Caenorhabditis elegans: one gene and its partner. The protein of the gene in region 2 interacts with the protein of the main gene of each other region in a pairwise test. Each region holds a gene or a part of one and is shown on either strand. Other genes may lie near its edges. The genes, in order: mfap-1 and enri-1.

Evidence for each region.
Region 1: the proteins of enri-1 (region 2) and mfap-1 interact in a two-hybrid assay, tested with the Caenorhabditis elegans proteins (one study listed by BioGRID).

What each region holds. Positions count from the first base shown.
Region 1 is NC_003279.8:8,634,681-8,643,660, forward strand, and holds mfap-1 (Microfibrillar-associated protein 1), read right to left. Parts: upstream 5,557-8,980; 5' UTR 5,556-5,556; coding exon 5,398-5,555; intron 5,344-5,397; coding exon 4,554-5,343; intron 4,424-4,553; coding exon 4,151-4,423; intron 4,098-4,150; coding exon 3,918-4,097; 3' UTR 3,834-3,917; downstream 1-3,833. Other genes in the region: ces-1 (C2H2-type domain-containing protein), read left to right, coding at 15-96, 197-276, 1,040-1,224, 1,279-1,364; cpn-1 (Calponin-homology (CH) domain-containing protein), read right to left, coding at 1,693-1,935, 1,980-2,195, 2,324-2,443; mog-7 (GCF C-terminal domain-containing protein), read left to right, coding at 5,847-5,948, 6,000-6,737, 6,791-6,929, 6,974-7,128, 7,181-7,452, 8,034-8,349, 8,395-8,539, 8,622-8,875. UniProt on the Caenorhabditis elegans protein: Involved in pre-mRNA splicing.
Region 2 is NC_003280.10:2,334,777-2,344,857, forward strand, and holds enri-1 (Enhanced Nuclear RnaI (RNAi), T. Duchaine), read right to left. Parts: upstream 5,971-10,081; 5' UTR 5,962-5,970; coding exon 5,817-5,961; intron 5,239-5,816; coding exon 5,018-5,238; intron 4,267-5,017; exon of another isoform or gene 4,201-4,266; intron 4,102-4,200; coding exon 3,893-4,101; intron 3,631-3,892; coding exon 3,186-3,630; 3' UTR 3,121-3,185; downstream 1-3,120. Other genes in the region: F43C11.7 (RING-type domain-containing protein), read left to right, coding at 1,161-1,236, 1,747-1,916, 1,967-2,041, 2,110-2,297, 2,345-2,393, 2,501-2,759, 2,806-2,876; F43C11.6 (MotA/TolQ/ExbB proton channel domain-containing protein), read left to right, coding at 7,661-7,797, 7,848-7,900, 8,189-8,319, 8,778-9,089.

The DNA of each region.
Region 1 (8,980 bases), on a different chromosome or scaffold from region 2:
TAACTTTTTTTCAGACCATCCTCTCATAACAGATGTGTATGTGACAAATGTGGGAAAAGCTACGCAACAACTTCCAATCTCAGTCGACACAAGCAGGTAGGTAAAACAGTGTTTTTCTGACAGCTATGACATAACATATTGCTTCCTTCGTGTTCCTGGATTGAGAATTCTTTTGTTTTGAAAGTAACAATTTCAGACGCACAGAGCTTTGGATAGTCCACATGCCAAACAATGCCCTCATTGTGATCGAGTCTACGTCAGTATGCCTGCACTAAGGTAAGAGCTTTACTTTTCAAAAAGTATTATTGTATTTTATAATGAGAAACGTGTAAAACTGAGGAATTCGAGTCAATAACTTTCAGAAGTGAAGTTTTTGAATTTCTTAGAAAAAATTCTAAATCTGGTTATTACGCAGGCGCAAAATATTGTCATTTTTGAAAAATACGGTACCCGGTCTCGACACGAAAAAATTTGGTTAAATGCAAAAAGGTGTCCCTTTAAAAGAGCATCAACGAGAGAGTTTGAAAAATACAGTACTCTCAAAAAATTGTCGTGTAAAGACCAGGTACAGTACTTTGGGCGCAAAATTGCAATATTTCGCGTATAGGTAATACGTTTTCACACCAGAGTTTATTTGAAATATCGAGCTAACTCAGTTCAAAGAATAGAGAATCATTACTTCCAAATAATATCCAGAATGTAATTGAAACCACGTTTGTAAGGTTAATCTCCTCAAGCTTTCACTTCGTATTATTTAATCACCAACAATTCGCACCTGCCTTATTCTCATCAGAAGACAATCTTCCGATTGCGCAATCACCACCTGTACCTGTATTTCTTTGCGTCAACACACATTGTACACTATTGTAGTTAGGCGGATAATAGAAATTATATAATACATGGTAATAATAAGAATTCGATGGAATTAGTAGTGAAACTAGCAACCAGAAAGCTGGGGCTAAGTGTTCACAATCTAGTAGAGACTTAGGATTGGACGTTAACTTTTTCTCCTAGTTTTACAAGTTAAACTGAATTTCAGCATGCACATTTTAACACACAACGCTTCTCATGAATGTAATGTTTGCGGGAAACGATTTTCGAGACTTTGGCTGCTCCAGGGACATCTTCGTTCTCACACAGGTCTTCGGCCTTTCTCTTGTGCTCATTGTGGAAAATCATTTGCTGATCGGAGCAACTTACGAGCGCACATGCTAACTCATACAGGTATTTACGCATATATTTTCACACCTAACAGTTCTTCAATATTTGTTGTTCCAGGTGACAAACGATTCGAATGTGATAAATGTGGTCGTCGATTTGCCCTGCGAGCTTATTTAAATCGTCATTTGGAAACGTGCAAATGACATCCATGTTCAACCAGACCTCAAGCTCTTCTAGTCATTTGCAAATCGTCTAGTCTCATATTGTAAAATGCTTATTTGCCTACTTACAAGCTTTATTACAATACAATAAATAATTTGGACAAAAATTCTACACAAAAACATGGAAATCATTATGAGTTGTATGTTGGAACCGATGAAATTTGGAGAAGCGAATTGAATTTTCTAGAAGTGCGTGGCTTCCAGATCGATTACAGTACACTTGATAATTTGGACATATAAAAAAATGAATAGGAAAATTTCACGTTATGATTACCAGAACCGGTTGAGAATGTAGGGAATACGTTGGAAATTACATGTGGCGGGTGTTTCCCATGTTAAGTCCTGAAGCAGTTGCCCCTTTGTTGCTGCCCATTTGAAGACCAATCACGTTATGTCCAGCTTTCAATTGCTCATCGGTCCATTCACGACGATCTCCTTGAGCTTCCTTCGGTCCGAGACCAGATCGACCGAAGTTCTTCTCAGACTTTCGTGCCAAAGAAGCGAGACAGATGAGGACAGCATTTGGGTCCTGTCCTTCGTAGAGATCAACAGTCTGAAAACAATTGATGTCATAATGTGTTTAGTGAAAGGACAAACCTGGAAGAGTTCCGACTTTTGCACATACTCCTCAGCAAACTTCAGGAAGAAAGAGATGTTCTCCATTTTCTTGAATGCCATGGCAGATGTGTTGACCTTCTTGACGCTTCCTGGTTTCAAAGAATTGGCAAGAGTGCAGAGAAGACTTCCATCTTGAAAAACCTTGACCAAGTTGTCAGCGTCTCCTTGGGTGTCGAAAGATTGGCCAGTGACGTTCTGAAAAATGTTTCAAATCGTGAATCGAAGAAGGAGCATAACTTATTTGTATGATTTTCTTCGTTTGCAATGTAAACATATGACTTTGCCAAGAATCAATAAACGTTTGAAAAGTTTCACAAAATTACCTGAACCCATTGAAGAATTTCTCCGGCAAGATTCTTATCGTATTTCTCGTAGATTTTCTGCTGGGCCTCCAATGCAATTCCAGACTTTTCAGCGCGATCCGAAGAAGCGAAAGCGGACATTTTCTAGAACGAATAAGTTTGAAAGAAAAAAAGCGTATAGTTAACGACGAGAAAAAATATTTATAAACAAAAGAGGTTCTTCCACTCTCCGCTAACCAAAAATGGTGAAATTCTTCTGACTCATCGCAAAGTTTTGGTTCTCCGCCTACGTCTTGCGTTTTTGATAAGGAACATTTGATTGAACGGTGTTTGATAAAAAAGAATTGGAAGAGTTTAATCGAAAATAGCCCAAAAATAACAATTTAAGAGTGCTCTCGGGAGAAAACTGCCGGTTTGAATGAAGATATGAGAAATGTGCTCAGGAGCGCTCCTAAAATTCAGGCGGTCTTTTGTAGTTAAAGGAACATTCAAGAGGCAACAGTACCGGGTCCCATAGCGAAACAAAAGTTTGTGGTGATCGCTAGATTTTTGTGTTTGATTTTGAAAATACTGTTCTTTTTCTCCAACATTAAAAGAAGATGTTTTAAATAAAATTCAGCAAATTATTAATATTTCATTGTAAAAATAGATTTTTAGAACTTTCTCGAGCTCGAGGCACTCAAAATAAAGTTACTTTGGTTCTATGTCGCAATCTAAAAAGAGCGATAAAAAAATGAAAGCTACATAAGCATGGAAAAATTTTTCAAAAAGAGATTTTGCAGCTCAAATAAGAAAACTACGATCTAATATCCTGGTTTATAAAAAACATAAAACTAATGAAAGAAAACGAAAACTACTTCTTGAAAGAAATATTACCGGTACAGAGAGTGTAGATAGTTAGAGAGTGACAGACATCCGGGACCCAATGGGGCGGGCGCGCGGAAGAGACGATTTGTGTCGATTTACGAAATGATGACAACGAGGAAAATTTCGTAAATCGGCACAAATCGTCTCTTCCGCGCGTCCCGCCCCATTGGGTCCCGGATGTCTGTCACTCTCTAACTATCTACACTCTCTGTACCGGTAATAGGACACTTTGCAAACATGCATACAAACACGCCAATGACCCTTTTCTAATTAAAAACGCAAAACCACTTTTCAAGAGTCGACCGATCGGAAAAGGTGGCGATCGACAACACACTCCTCACAACATGATGACGAAAACCTTGAAAAGGAATAGAAAAAAACAAGGACGAATGGTGAGCGGCTCGTTTAGGTTGAATGCATTTGAAAAATATGAAAACGAGAGTCGATATGGGAATTCTCAATAAAACATTTGAAAGTCCGAATAGGAGAGGTTCACAAACCAAATGAGGGGAGAAACGAACCGTCTGTTGGTTTTTTTTGTTTCGAACACACAGTTGTGTTTGTCCTTTGCATTAGCTGGTATGACGAGAACTTTGAACTTTGGCGTTGAATAATTGCTACTGCAACACGTATTGTACTGGTGTATTTTAATCGCACAATTACTCTGAAACATTTTTTATTCTTAGAAAACAAATAAATAGAAATCGAAGTACAAAAAATTGGGATTTTCAGGAATGTGCAAGCTTTTTCAGTTCTTTCGCTTTTTTGTTGCAGGTCTCTCAAAAACTGGTCTGGATCCTCCGGCTCTTTTCGTGGAGAATTGAGAATTCAACTGATTCGTTGATGCCCAAACACCTTGATGATCTGTTGTATCTTCTTCTGTCAAGTGCGTATACTTGGTTCGAGATGCTTTTCCAAAGTTTTTGACCTGAAATAAATAATTTAGTTCAATTATCACTATAATAAGTTACGAGTATTTACCTGCATAACTTTCGGCAGAATAGTTTTATCAAATTGATCATCGTTGGTAGCTTCGGCAAAGTTTCTCTTGAGTACTTCATCTTCTTCATCCAAGAAGAAAGCTCCACGATGGAAATATTTTTGAAGGAACTTGTATTTTCCTTTGTCCTGTTTGTTAGTGATAACCTTTGGATTTAAACGAAGATATTTGAGTCGTTCTTCCTCGGACATTGCGTGAATCTTGTCAAGTTCTGCCTTCTCGCGTGCGGCTTCTTCACGTTCGTCACGGTTTCTCTGCAAAAAAAAATTGGATATCGGATATTATAGTGAGAATTTTTTTGAGAAATTTCTATGTCAATTTATTAAAAAACTCAAAAAAAAAACTTCGAAGATCTACATTCAAAATTTTGCAGCAAAAATTTACCTTCAATCGTTTCATTTCTCTGAGCTTCCACGCCTCATATGCCATATTTTCAGTTTCATCGTCGGTTAGAACAGATGACAAATCAACACGATCTTCTGTTTTTCTTTTCTCAGCAGCTTCTTCCTCTTGAAGAACCTTTTCAACTAATTTTGCACTTTCTCTCTTCCGTTCTTCAGCTCTTTTTTCGTCTTCGATCTTTTTCAGAATTTCTTTTTCTTTCTCCTTCTCGGCTTCTTGCAAAGTGATACGATCCTTCTTTCTTGTGAAAATAGGCTTCAATCTTGGAACTGGATCGTCATCTTCATCTGAATCTTCCTCTTCACTACTTTCTTCTTCTTCCTCCTCTTCAACATCATCTTCTTCAAGTTCTTCTTTAATTTCTCGTTTTATTTCTTCCTCTCTTTTAATAGCTCTATCTCTGAGCATTTGACGTCTTCTTTCAAAATCTTCTTCATCTGATTCAGCACTGTCTTCTTGTTCTTCATCTTTTTCTCTGTTATTTTCATGTAATTCCAATCTTCTCATTCTGGCTCTTTCTCTTCTCTCTTCTTGTTTCTCTTCGTCTTCTTCAGATTCCTGTTCATTTTCAGATGATTCGTCCTCTACTTTTCCAAGAACTTCTGGCTTCTCCACCTGTCGTCGTCTACCATAATCTTCGTGTCTTCTGTGGCGTCTTCTATCTTCTTCATCACTACTTTCACGACGTCTACGTCTTCTTCGATCATCATCTCGATCTGTCTCTCGGTCTGATTCACTGCTGTCACTGTCGTAGTTACGAGCATATTCTGGTCTGAAAATCAATGTTTTAAAGACTAATTCAACCATTAAACGAAAAAAAACTTACGCCTTTCCAGCCACATATCTTGAAACTTTCACTTTCTGCATAACAGTTTGTCCTTTCTCATTTTTGATTGGAATGGCTCCAAGAGTCGGAAGACGCGAATGTCCGAAACTTCGATTATCGCTTTCGCGTTGTTCAAATCCAGGTACATAATCTCCCATTCTGAAAGTTATTTTTAAAATTAACCCTTTTTAATTTCGGCAAAAAATAGTCAGAAACAATAAAGAGTAAATATGTAAAATTTTTAATTGAATTTTTCGAAAAAAATAATAAGCATTAAATTGCTCGTAAGTTATAATGCATAAAGAGTACCTCACGTGGTGTATGCAGACCCAACAGCACATCTTACGACAGTCTCGTTTACGAAAATATTTTCAAATATCAATTTTGGCCAAATTTTCTTGCTAAACGCTCATTTTTTTCTTTTTTTTTTACTCAAAACGTTTTTCAGAATGTTCCGTAAACCAAAGGCAAAAGGTGCTATTCGCCAACGGAAATCTGACGGATGGGATGAACCTGATGCTGAAAACCAACAAGTAGTCTCGGCTATCGAAGTGAGTTTTAATGAATTTCAACATTCTTTTTAATTTAATTTTTATTTAAAGGTCAAACAACCTGCTGTGCCTCGTCCAGCCATGAGTTTCGATGCTGATGAAGGAGCTGATTCGACGTTCAAACTTAAGAAAGACAAGAAAAAAGTTGAAGAATTGAAACGTCAACACAAACTAGAGGAGGAAGCTGAAAAATTATATAAGGAAGAGAAAATTCGTAAGGAAGCGCTTGATAAAATTGTGAAAAAGGAGAAACTCTCAAAAGAAGACAAAAAGACGAAAAATGAGCGGCATAAATACCTTGACAAATATCGTGACAAATCTGCTAAGCACATTTCGAATTCGGAGAGCTACGAATACGAAGAAAATTTGGATATTGATGCAGAAGCAATTTCATCAGTTTCCAATAAATTCAATTCTGCTTTTGAAGGTATTCCCGACTCTCGTGCCGTTTTCGAAGCAAAAAAACGCCGAGAACGAGCCAGAAGAGAGGGAAATCAAGACGGATATATTCCTTTGGATGACACACAAAAACTTAAATCTAAAAGTGAACGAAATCGATTGATTCGAGAAGATGAGAATGATGATTCGGATGAAGAGTGTACAAATAAATTCTATTCGGCTCGTGAGCTACTTCGAACAGAAGAAGATCGTCGTAGAGAAGAACAAGAAGGATTTTTAGAACGAGAAAATGGAGATATTGATGAAGCTGAACGAATAAAAGGTGATGATGATAGTGAAAATGAGGAATGGGAAAAACAACAAATTCGGAAAGCTGTTAGTCGGAGAGAGGTGAGCTTTTTGTGGTAATAGAGATCGTGAATCTGAAAATTTAAAAATTATAGATAGGCCAACTGCGAACAGAAAAACGAAATACTTCTAAATTATTTGGGCATACAGTTCCTGTTGAAGATGACACAGCAATGGATATGGATATTGATCTTGATATGGATGTTCAAGTAATTGGAAAACCGGAATTTACTGGTATATTATTTTGTTTGAAGACAAATAATTTTAATTAATTTCAGGACCATCAAATACCGGAGGAGTTGTAAAAATTGAAGATATTCTTGCTAAATTAAAATTGCGGATTCAAGAACGAGATGAAGCATTGAATTTCAGAAAAGAAGAAAAACGAAAATTGGAGCAAAATATTGAAGAAAACAAATCAATGATTGCAAAGGTAACAAGTATTTCAATAATTATATATATATATCATTTTTTAATAATTTCAGATTGAAATGGAGCTTCCTAACCAAAGTACCAAATACACAATGTATCAAGAATTACGAGTGTATTCCCGTAGTCTTTTAGAATGTCTGAATGAAAAAGTTGGCGAAATTAATTCGATTATCGATAAGAAAAGAGATTGTGGGAAATCCAGGACTTCAAGACTCTCGGTACGTAGAAGACAAGACATGAGGGATCAACATGCAGAATGTATGCAGGGAAGAAATGCAAGAATGGGTGAGGCCGCTGGAAGAGCAGCAGAACGTGACGCCAGAAGGTACGTATTTTTTTGAAATAGTTTAATTGACAGGTCTGTGGGAAATCTGTCAATATCAATATCTGTGCTTTCTAAAAATAATCATAGCTGAAAATGATGGGTCTCGGCACGAATTTTTTTTACGAATTCAGAAAGTTTATAAATTCTAAAACTTTCCGAAAATGTAGAACAAATATTTATGGGATTATTCAAGTAATGTAGCAAAATGTATTTAAGTACATTTGTGACGTCACAAATGTATTTAAATACATGTTTTTATCTACTTGAATAAGGTGACGTAATTTTTCTACACTTTTTAATTTTCCGACATTACTTGAATAACCCCATTAATTATACTTTCAACCAACTAATTAAAATTTAAATATAGTCCCTTTAGTTTGAGTTCTGTTTTTATTTTCTTTCATCGCACACATAGATATTCATACTCAATTTTTTTTTCTATTTCGCAATAATCATGTGAAAATATTTCCCATATGACAATAGACGATCTCTCACAACTATGACATTTCACTTTTTAGAAAAAAAAATCTCATTCTTGTTCAGATTATTTCTATCAAAATCTATATATTTATATATTTCAGAGGCCGTCGACGTCGAGAACGTGAATTTACACTTGCTAGAATTAATCATGAAGAAGGATTAAGTACAGATGATGAAGAACCAACTCCCCAGTCAATGAATGATCAAAAGATCTGTGATGAAGTGGAAGCAGTTGCTTCTGTTTTATTTGCAGATGCTCTAGATGAGTATTCTGATCTTCGAAAAGTTTTTGGACGGATGACGGATTGGTTGGCAGTTGATCCGAAGTCGTTTCAGGATGCTTATGTTTATTTGTGTATTCCAAAGTTGAGCTCTCCGTATGTTCGACTACAGATACTCAGAGCGGATTTTCTTAGAGTAAGTAATTTTGTATAGCTTTACAAAACAAAAAAAAAATTTCAGAAAGAAACAATCTTAACTTCTATGCAATGGTTCCATATCGCAATGCTTGCTGGCTCAGAAAATGCAGAAATTGATCAAAGTCATGAAATCCTAGTCGAGCTGGCGCCAGCCATCGTTGAAAAAGTTGTGATTCCATTTTTAATAGGTTTGTTTTTGAAACTTTCATCAAATTTTGGTGATTTTTCTGCTTTCCAAACAAAAATTATTTTTCAAAAACCATATTACAGATACCGTAAAAGAGGAATGGGATCCAATGTCTCTTCGACAAACTCGTCATCTCACAACATTTTGTTCACTTTTTGAAAAACTGCCAAATTTGACGGAAAAAAGCAAGCAATTCAACGCATTTCTAAATGCAATTCGAGAACGAATTTGTGATTGTATTTCTGAAGATCTTTTTATGCCAATTTTCATGCCAAATGCTCTTGAACAACCTATTTGTCGACAATTTCACGATCGACAATTTTGGACTTGTATTAAGGTAATACTTATCTTATCACTAAAACAATACAAAAACATCGAGAAAATTGGTTGAAAAAAAAGATAATTGATTTCCATAGAATTAAGGGTGTTGGATTTGAGAACG
Region 2 (10,081 bases):
TGGCAAAAAATGTTCCACAGTTGCCGTTTTTCCGGCAAATTCGGCAAACTGGTAAGTTAGTTTTAAATTCCGGCAATTTGCCGATTTGCCGATTTGCCGGAAATTTTCAAGTGCAGCAATTTGCCGATTTGCCTATTTGCCAAAAGTTTTCAATTCCGGCAATATGCCATTTGGCCAATTTGGCCGGAAAAATTATTTGCCGCTTACCCCTGAGCGATTGAAAAACCCGCTTGTGATATCATGGGTAAAGATTCCAAGAGATTTGACTCAAAATCGCTGAGACGGAAGGATTATCAGATTATCACTATGGTTACCATGCGCCTGTAGCTATTTTTTAATATTTTTGCTCACCAAGATAATGCTCAAGAAGATTATGATCACCATAGCAACTGAGCTCTATCGCTGAGCTGGCTCCGCGGCTCTCCTCATTCCATCTCCTTTGGGTGCCTACGGAATGTGCGCCCTCCTTTTTTCTCTACTATTGATTTTATGTTAATTTCTACTAAACTTTGCTGGTTTTAATTATTCTCGACAGGTCGAATAAATGCTTGAGCAAAAAAAAACTTTTATTTTAAAAGTTTCAAGGTGAGCAAAACTTGCTAATATCCTTAATATTTTTTTCTGTATTCCAGACTCGGCTACAACTCCCACCGTCAGACACGTCATAGTAACTTACTTCTTCAATTATATCAAATTTTTAAAAAATTTTATTTTTTCATTTCTGCTCTTGTGCACCATCGTCCTAAAAAAAAGTGAGTTATTTTTCTGGAAAATGTTTCTTTTGTGTTCCGATTTTTACGAGTTTTTTTTTCAGAAATTGGTGATCTCGTTATGGAATTAATTGTTGAATTATTGAATTAAAATTGTTATAATAAATTGTTTTTTGTTTTGGTTTTGTTCCGCAAATTTTTTACCATATGGTATGACGTCATAGGGTTGTGACGTCACTACTAAAAAGCGAGGGTCTCCTTTTTCATATTAGAAATAATTTCAAGTAGAAATTGGAGCAAACAAGTGAATTTTGGGAAATTGACATGTGAATTGGTTATCTAAAGAATAGCACGAGTGAGGAAGCAACGACCTTGATAAGAGTGTAGTTTCAATTTCATTTTCTAATTTCTGTCGACTGGCCAGTAAAATAAACAAAATTCGAAAAAAAAATGTCGTTTCTGAAATGCGGAGTTTGCACCGAGGACTATTCAAATGTGATCACAAATCGGCATCCCAAGAATTTGAGTGAGTTTTGACTTGAGACCACTATTGCATAGCTTACGCTAAAAAATGTTCCAAGTTGCGTTGGGCTCCGTCCAAATTTAAAATGTAATAGGCCCATGATTAGCCCAAGAATATCATCTTACTAGATCCGGACAGTTTAACAAGAGTTTGGCCATTCTTGCATTCAGGCTGCGCCAAAAGTTACGTTGGCCCGAAACTTTTGCTGTGTCGGCTTAAACTTACGCTTAAAGCCTAAATCCAAAAAATGTCAAAATTTTGCCCAATTTTTGACCAAGTTTATCTAAATTCTGATCGAAGTCAATACTTTTCGGACCAAATGCCGAGTATAACTAAACTTGGATGGCCTGGATTAGCTTAGGCTAAGGCTTAGCTTAGGCTAATTCTTAAGCTTAGGATTAGGCTTAGGCTAATTCTTAAGCTTAGGATTAGGCTTTGGCGTAGACTTAGGCTGAGACTTAGGCTTGACTAACTAGCCATACAGACCATCAAAACTCGCAAGTCACTTTTCAGCTTGCGGTCACTCAATTTGCAAGGCCTGCTCTTCAAAATTAGTCTCTAATTTCAAAATCCTGTGCCCATTCTGCCGAAAAACCACTGAGCTTCGAGAAAATGAAAACTTGCAGACCAATTTTGCATTGCTAGAGGCTATAAGCTTGTTCAATGATATCAATGAGTCCGTTGTAAGTTGGAATTTTTCATTAATATTGTTGAAGACTTTACACACTATCAGACTGAGCCAAGATCATCTGGAGCACCACCAAATTGCGAGGAGCACACTTATAATCTGGCCGAGTTCGTTTGTATCGTAAGTTTGGTCGATGCACCATGATGCGTGAAATTGCAAGACATGGCGCATCGACCAAAGTTCTTCAGAGTCCAAACTGCTCCAGTCGAAGCAAGCTGATGTGCCGGACTTGTGAGGAGTTCGGAGTCCACGCAGGACATAGAAAAGGGCTTCTGCAGGTTGAAGCTAAGAAAGTTAGGCAGAACCTTCTAGAGCGGCAAAGGAAGCTTCAAGTCAACAAGAAACAGGTTGATGATAAAATTCAAGCACTGGAAAAGTGGGCTTAAAAGTGATTTGTAGAAAAAAGCGACTTCCTGTTTTCAGGGCTGCTCTCAAGAAGAATGATGAGCTATATAAGGAGAAATACGATGAGGTGAGTTTCATTTACAGGTTCTTTCAAAGCCTAAGCCTAAGTGGAAGCCTAAGCCAGAGCCTAAGCCTAAGATTAAGCCTAAACCTTATAGTAAGTTGTACTTTCAGATAACACGACACTACGACAGAATCCGAAGCTCTGTTGCAGAACGAGAAAAGACTTCAAAGGAAGTGTTAAAGAAGAGTGTGCTGACCAGTGAGGAGGACAATCGGATGGGTCAAATCTCCAATCATGTCATCAGGCATCTACTGGAGAAGAAGTGTGAGGAAGTGGAACAGCTCGTCGGGATGACCGATTTCGAGTTGTATCGGGTGAAGGATAAGGTTGACTGGAATGATGAATCCTTTAGTTTCTCGGATGTTAAAGGTGGGGTTTGGAGTTTTATCTCCCCAATAGATATATGAATTTTCAGAAAAACCACCAATGGAATTGAAAACCTTGCATGTGAAGCTTCCAGAATTCCGATTTGAAGATTCGAGCTGAAGTTAAACATCAATATACATACATAAAGCTTATTCCGTCTTCTCATTTTGTATTTTAACAGGCCGACTTGTAGTCTTGTATGTATTCTTGTAGTCTATACTGTAAATGGACTATTGGCCCGGTTTCAGGCCTACCCAGCCGAAACTTTTCAGGTTCCACGCCGCAAGGCAGGCGGAGGTCGTCTCAGGGCCTCAAGATTTTGGAGCCTCCATGGAGCCCCTAGACTAGTTCGGCTATTTCAAAAACCATTCAGACACATTTATTCTTGGGTTCAACGTTGTCATGCAAGAAAAAGAAGAGATCCATAAATTACCAAACATCCAATTTATACATCCAATTATACTCTTCCTCCGAATCATATTCCGGATCCGGTTCCTCATCATCTTCACTGAGATCCTCATTGCAGAAGCCCATGACGTGGCTCGGTATGAGAAAAGTCCCATCGGGTTGGCGCTTCATATTGTAAATGTCAAATGCCGGAGATTTCGGCTTCCGTTTTCGTGGAGCTACTTCGGAGGAGCTGTCTGCATCCTTTGTTGGTAATCCTGATCTTGACTTCAAGATCTGATCGACTCGAGATGGGGGCTGTGATGCTGATGTGGGCTCGAGTTGGGAGCTTGAAGCTTCGTTGGATGGCTTGGATTCCGGTTGCCGGGGTGACGGGAGCTTTGCAGGTTTAGCCGTGAGTGGTTCTAGGTCGGGCTTGCAAGTTCTCACAAAGATCACGTCAGGATCCTCCGGCAGCTCTGATGATCTGAAATAACAAAAAATGTTACTTTAGGCTAGGCTTCTAGGCTAGACTTCAGGCCTGCCGCCTCACGCCTGCCTATCGCCTCATTTCTGAAACAAGTCAAAGGCTTGGTGTTTATACCACATAATGAGCAATATAGTTTTGACGCGGCCGACATTTTTCGGGTTATATATATATATATATATATATATATATATACAGGAGACACGGCTCGCGGCAGGCAGGCATTTTGGCGCCTACATGAAGCTCTACTTCAGGTCCTTACCCGTTCACCAGCTCCGTCAGCCACTTTGGGACTTGGGATCCTCTCATAGTCATCTCCATGTTCAGAGCTTCCTGGTAGATCCGTGCATCCATATTTGTCGTTAAAAAATCAATATCGATGACTTGCTCCGATTGCTGAGCCATTGTGTTGAGCCGATCGAGCATTTTCTTGATTCCAATGATTTTTAGTGGGAAATCGAGGAAGATGTACTGAAAAATAAAATTTCCAGTATTAAAATTGAATTTCGGGTATATTTTTTAGTCTAAATTTCAATTTTTAGCTCGAAATTCAAAAATCGCGTGAAATTCGGTGCTTGCGTACTTTTGGCGCTACCGTAACGCGGAAAATTTTAAAATTGAACTAGAATGGTCTAGTTTTTGAGGTTTAGCATGAAATTTTATGAGAAATTCAATTTTGAGAAGAAAATTTCAAAATAAGTTCCAAGATTTGAATGCGTCGCGGTCGCGTTGAGGCTCAAAATTGAATTCTCGGTGTTAGGATTTTTTCTCCGCATTTTCCTTATCAAATTCGAATTCTCCGTAATTTTCTTAGTTTAACCATGAATTTTCAGCTCGAAAATCGAAAATCGCGTGAAATTCTGTGTTTCTGGGGGTACTGTAGTCGGTGTTCGCGTATCTCTGGTGCTACAGTAACCCTTAAAATTTCAAAATTGAGCTAGAGAGCTCTAGTTTTCGGCTGCCTTAGTAAAATTTTGTGTAGATTTCAGATTTGACTATAAAAATTGGAAATTATCTGAATATCTAACAATATCTGACAACTTTCAGACAACAAGTTTAGTTTTTGGGGCTCAAAAGTTGTTATAATGAATTTTTTATTTAAATGTCGAATTCCACATAATTATCTCAGCTTAACCCCTAGCTTTCAGCAGAAAATTTAAAAATCGCGTAAAATTCTGTTTTTCTGGGAGTACTGTAGTCGGTGTCTGCGTACTTTTGGCGCTACAGTAACCCTTGAAATTCCAAAATTGAGCTAGCGAGCTCTAGTTTTTCAGTATCAAACTGAAATTTTGTGAGGAATTTGAAATTGGCAAGGAAAAGTGTAAATTCGTGCCAAATTTTTTGAATTTTTTACAAATTTTCCAAGTTTTTCAACAAAAAAACTTACATGCTTAGCCAACCCCAACTGAAAATCGTCCATAAAATCCATATTACAAATCGCGAGCATTTTCTCTCCATTATTCACTTGTACCCGTTCTCTTTCCAGCACAGTTTTGTCATTTGTTATTAGATATTCCGAAAACGTTCCGAATATAGTTTTGCTGTCGTAGAGTGTTAGCAGAGCTGCCATTGCCGATTTGTCGTGTTTGCAGAAAATTAGTGTGCGTTCTGGAAAAATTTACATTTTTTTCGCATTTTCCATGAAAAATTCGGATTCTCCACTATTTTCTTAGTCTATCTGTAAATTTTCAGCTCAAAATTCAAAAATCGCGTAAAATTCGGTGTTTGCGTACTTTTGGCGCTACCGTAACCCTCGAAATTTCAAAATTGAGCTAGAAACTTCTATTTTTTGCGGGTTAGACTGAAATTTTATGGGGAATTCGAATTTGAAACGTAAACTTCAAAAATTTAAATTGTTGGAAATTTTTGAATGCGTTGCGGTCGCGTCGCGGCTCAAAAATTAATTTTGCAAAGTTATTAGCCATTTTTTCGAATTTTTTAGAGAATTCGAATTCTTCATAATTTTCTTAGTCTATTCCTAATTTCTTAGCTCAAAATTAGGAGATCGCGTGAAACTCGGTGTTTCTGGAGTACTGTAGTCGGTGTTTGCGTATTTTTGGCGCTACCGTAACCCTCTAAATTTCAAAATTGAGCTAGACAACTCTAGTTTTTAGTTACAAGAGTGACTTTTTTGTAAAGAATTCGATTTATTTAATAATAATTTTCCAAAATAAAAAATCACTCACCAAAACTATTACTGGCTTCAAACGTCTTTTTATCCTCAGCCAAAAACTCGAAGACCTTCTCCATTTTCCGTTCATGTGCGATTTTTTCATTGTTGCAGTTTTGTACTTGATGAGCATTAATTCGGGTGAATTTTGCTATTTTCATAGCGAATTTCTGGAAAATATATCGATTTTTAGTTAGAAAAAAGGTGAAAAAAAGTAAAAAATATATGTATCAAAAACCATAAAAATTGGGAATTTTTAGAAAAAAAACCCAAAGAAAGTTTAAAAATTCTTCAAAAATTGGAAAAATGATAGTGTAAATCTACAACACAAATTGCTCAATGGACAATTTTCAGGAAAGCTTATTAATTTTTCTGAGAAAGATTTGAAAAAAAATGCACTGAATTTTTGGAATTTATAAGGTTTTTAATTCAATATTCTGAAAAACGGAAATCTACATCCCAAATTGCTCACCGCCCAAATTTCGAAAACAAACCAAAAAATCTATAGAAAAACGGAATTGTTTTGCATAAAATGAACGCGTAAAGGTCAGGGGGCTTGCGGGCAGGAAGAAGAGAGTGTGAAGAGGAGTATGAGACCCAGACGTGCAAAACCACAGAAATAAGATGTAAAGAAAACAGTATGTAATAGTAAGAGACACCAGAGAAATTGGCGTAAAATTGCGGAGTCGTTGTGGCAGCTGGGGGTGTTCGATAGGTGCGGGCTATGGGAAAAACTTCAAAACAGCCGGAAAATAATGGAAAATAAAATTTTTTTTTGCCGGAATAAAATATGGAAATTGGCAACAAAAAAATTTTAAAATTAAGAAGTTTAGGAATTGCTGACAAGATTGGAAATTTCCCAGCGATATAACAAAAAATTACCAAAACTTTTCAAAAAGTTGCTAAAAAATTGCCAAAACTTACCAAAAAGTTGTTAAAATTGCCAAAAATTTCCAAAAAGTTTCTCGTAAATTGCCAAAAAATACATAATCTTGAAGTTATTGAAAAATTGCCAAAAAATAACCAAAAACTTCTGAAAATCTATGAAAAATTTCTAATTACTGAAAACTGTCGTACAATAAGTATTATATAACTTGCGAAAAAAGTTCCAAAAAAACTGAAAAACTAGCAAAAAACATAGGAAAGTTGCCCGAAATCGCCGAAAAATTGCAAATTGGTACGGTAATTTGGCAAAAAAAAGGGAAAATGCAAAAAAAAAACTATCTAAAAAAACTAAAATCTGGAGAAAATGGCAACAAATATTTTAAAAGTTCAGAAAATCTCTGTAAATTTGCCAAAAAACTTCCAAACTAGCCAAAAACACATCTACTGAAAATCTAAAAAAAATAATTTTTGGTGAGAAATGTCGAAAAAAAAAGGTGCCAAAAATTACGAAAACTGCCCGAAAACCACTTGAAAAGTAGTGTAAATCAGGTAGAAGTTGGCGAAAATTTACAGAAATTTGGCGAAAGTTGGCGAAAATTGGAGAATTTCTGAAGTTTCTCATAGAAATCTACCTATTTTTTCAATAATTCTTCTAAAAAGTCGATAACTTTCCACTTTCTCACCCTCAATGCACCATGTGCCCCCCGCTAAACGACACTCCGCTCTCCCGTCAGCGGTGCGTGCTGTTTATCGTAAATCCACACAGCAGGGGAATTTGAATGGGAAATTGTGGTTTTGTGGGTTTTAAGTAGTTTTTATTGGTTTTTAATAAAATTTTCAATGACTACTAATGCGAAAAGAAGTTTTGAAAGAAAAATCGTGAAAAATTCAGAGAAAATCGATAAAAATTAGGATTTTTTTTGTAAAAATACCAAAAATTATGAAAAATTTTACGAATTTTCATCAATTTCAGCAATGTTCCTACTCGATTTTTTATTTCTCGTCTCCTGGATTCTTCTTCTACTCGGCATATTCATTTTAACTCGGGAAGCCGTATTCCAATGGCATAAATCTGAAAATTTATCAATTTTTGGAGCATTTCTAGTTACCATGTAAGGTTTTCAGAGAGAAAATTTGCAATGAAAAACAAAAAAATTTTTAGGATAATATTTATCGAAGCAATTCTGATGTTGGAGGAGCATAAATGGAAAGATGGTGGGTTTTTTTTGTATATTTCAAAATTTTTTCTGAGGTTTTTTACAAAGAAATTCGAATTTTCCGTCACTTTATTAGTCTACCGATGAATTTTCAGCTCAAAATTCGAACATTGCGTGAAATTCGGTGTTTGCGTACTTTTGGCGCTACCGTAACCCTCGAAATTTCAAAACTGAGCTAGAAAGCTCTAGTTTTTGATTTTTAGACTGAAATTTTATGTGGATTTCAAATTTGAAAGTTAAAAATTCTGAAAAATCTCAGAATTTCCAACAAATCAATTATTTTCAGACACCTTATCTAATCAGCTGCTCCGGTGGATGTTTGGCAAGGCAGAAAGTACACATTGGAAATGGCATGTGAATCCAGTTACAGTACCTTTTAGTCTACTTGGACGGATTATAATATTGTGTGCTTCAGTAGTAAGTTTTAGATATTTTGAAGAAAACTGAAATCTCGAGTTTTCCAAGAAAACCAGAAGTTTTTGTGTAATTTTAGTGCAAAATCTGAAAACCTTATAAAATTTCAGGCTAAGCACAAAAAACTAGAAGCTTCTAGCGCAATTTTGAAAATCCCGGGTTACGGTAGCGCCAAAAGGACGCAAACACCGACTACAGTACACCAGAAACACCGAATTTCACGCGATTTTCGATTTTTCAGCTGAAAACTCACGGATATACAAAGTGAACAGCGGAGAATTCAAATTTAATAATGGAAATTCAATCTAATAGTGTTTGCGTATTTTTGGGGCTACAGTAACCCAAAAAAAACAAATTCAAATTCAAAATCAAGCTAGAGACTTCTAGTTTTCTGTGTTTAAGCTGAAATTTTATGCAAAATTCGAATTTTTGCTTTAAAAATTTAAAAACTATATTTTCAGTTCGGTGAATCGTGTGGAAAACTAATTGGCCGCTTCATCGCAGAGCTTCCACTTGCCACGTCACTAGTGATGGTTCCATTCTCATTTTTGTGCATTTTCCTTGGAATCTTTTGTATTTTTGGATATCAATTTAATATTGGTTATGGATTTCTGAAAGTTGAACGCAATAATCGTCTGAAATCGATTTTCAAACCATCGGATACGGCGGGAAATTCGTCAAAAAAATTGGAGAAATGCATTTCAAAAATTGATTTTTGCGTGAAGAAAGTTAATGAAGGATATCAGAAAACAATTGAGAAGCTGAAAAATTGAAATTCGATTTTTTAAAGAATATTTTATGGGTTTTGTAAATAAATAAACGGTTCTAATTTCAATTTTCTGTTAAATGTATTTTTCAAGCAAAATTGGTGAATAGTTAGACAAGAGTAATAAGCCAAAGTAGATCCCGTTCTTGTGTAACTGGATTTCCAACAAGCTAATGTCTCAATGATAAGATAAAAGAACAGAGATTGATGGGGAGATCACTAAAGAGGCGCTATTTTTATTCAAAATTGATCTTCATTATAAAGTTTAAGACGACTTTCGTAGCTCATTTAAGCCTTAATTTGTTGATTTTTTAGCTGGTAAATATGTCTTCGGACCTTTTTGTGAAAGAAAAACGTTTTCAAAGGTGCATCCATTACTTATTTCAAGCAATTTTTAAGCTTAAAAACCACCTCATATTCGGTGCAAAAGGCTCAATTGGAAGAAAATTGTACTTTTTTATATGCCCCGATACAAAAAAATAGTTTTGGAAAATTTTCAAAAAAAATTTTTTGACCAAAAATTTGGCTTCCACTGGACCGCAAAAATTCAGATTTTTTGCAAAAAAATAAAAATTTCCAAAAATCTTCCACATTGTTTGTTTGACCCTAAATGCTCACAAAAACAATTTTTAACCGCTCATAACCACTTTTAAGGCCATTTCCTTGACCTAGAATTCAGCAAAAAAATGCACTAGAGCACTTTCAGATGGCGCTTTCAGGGGTTCAGAGTTGAGTTCCGCCGCTGAAATTTTTGTGGTGATCTAGTCTAAACATAAGCTTTCAAATGACATATGTCTTGATTTAAAGTCCGGGACTAGATTGACTTCCTTTCCTTGTAAGCTACTTCCTACATCGCAGGCTTACCGTATCAAGAATTCGGACGAAGAAAACAAAAAAAAAACACAGAAATTCGTTGCATTAAAATAAATATCAATTATTTCTGATTGATCACTCTATCCTCTAGTAGGATATCAAAATTGCTCTTGAAATTGGATTAAT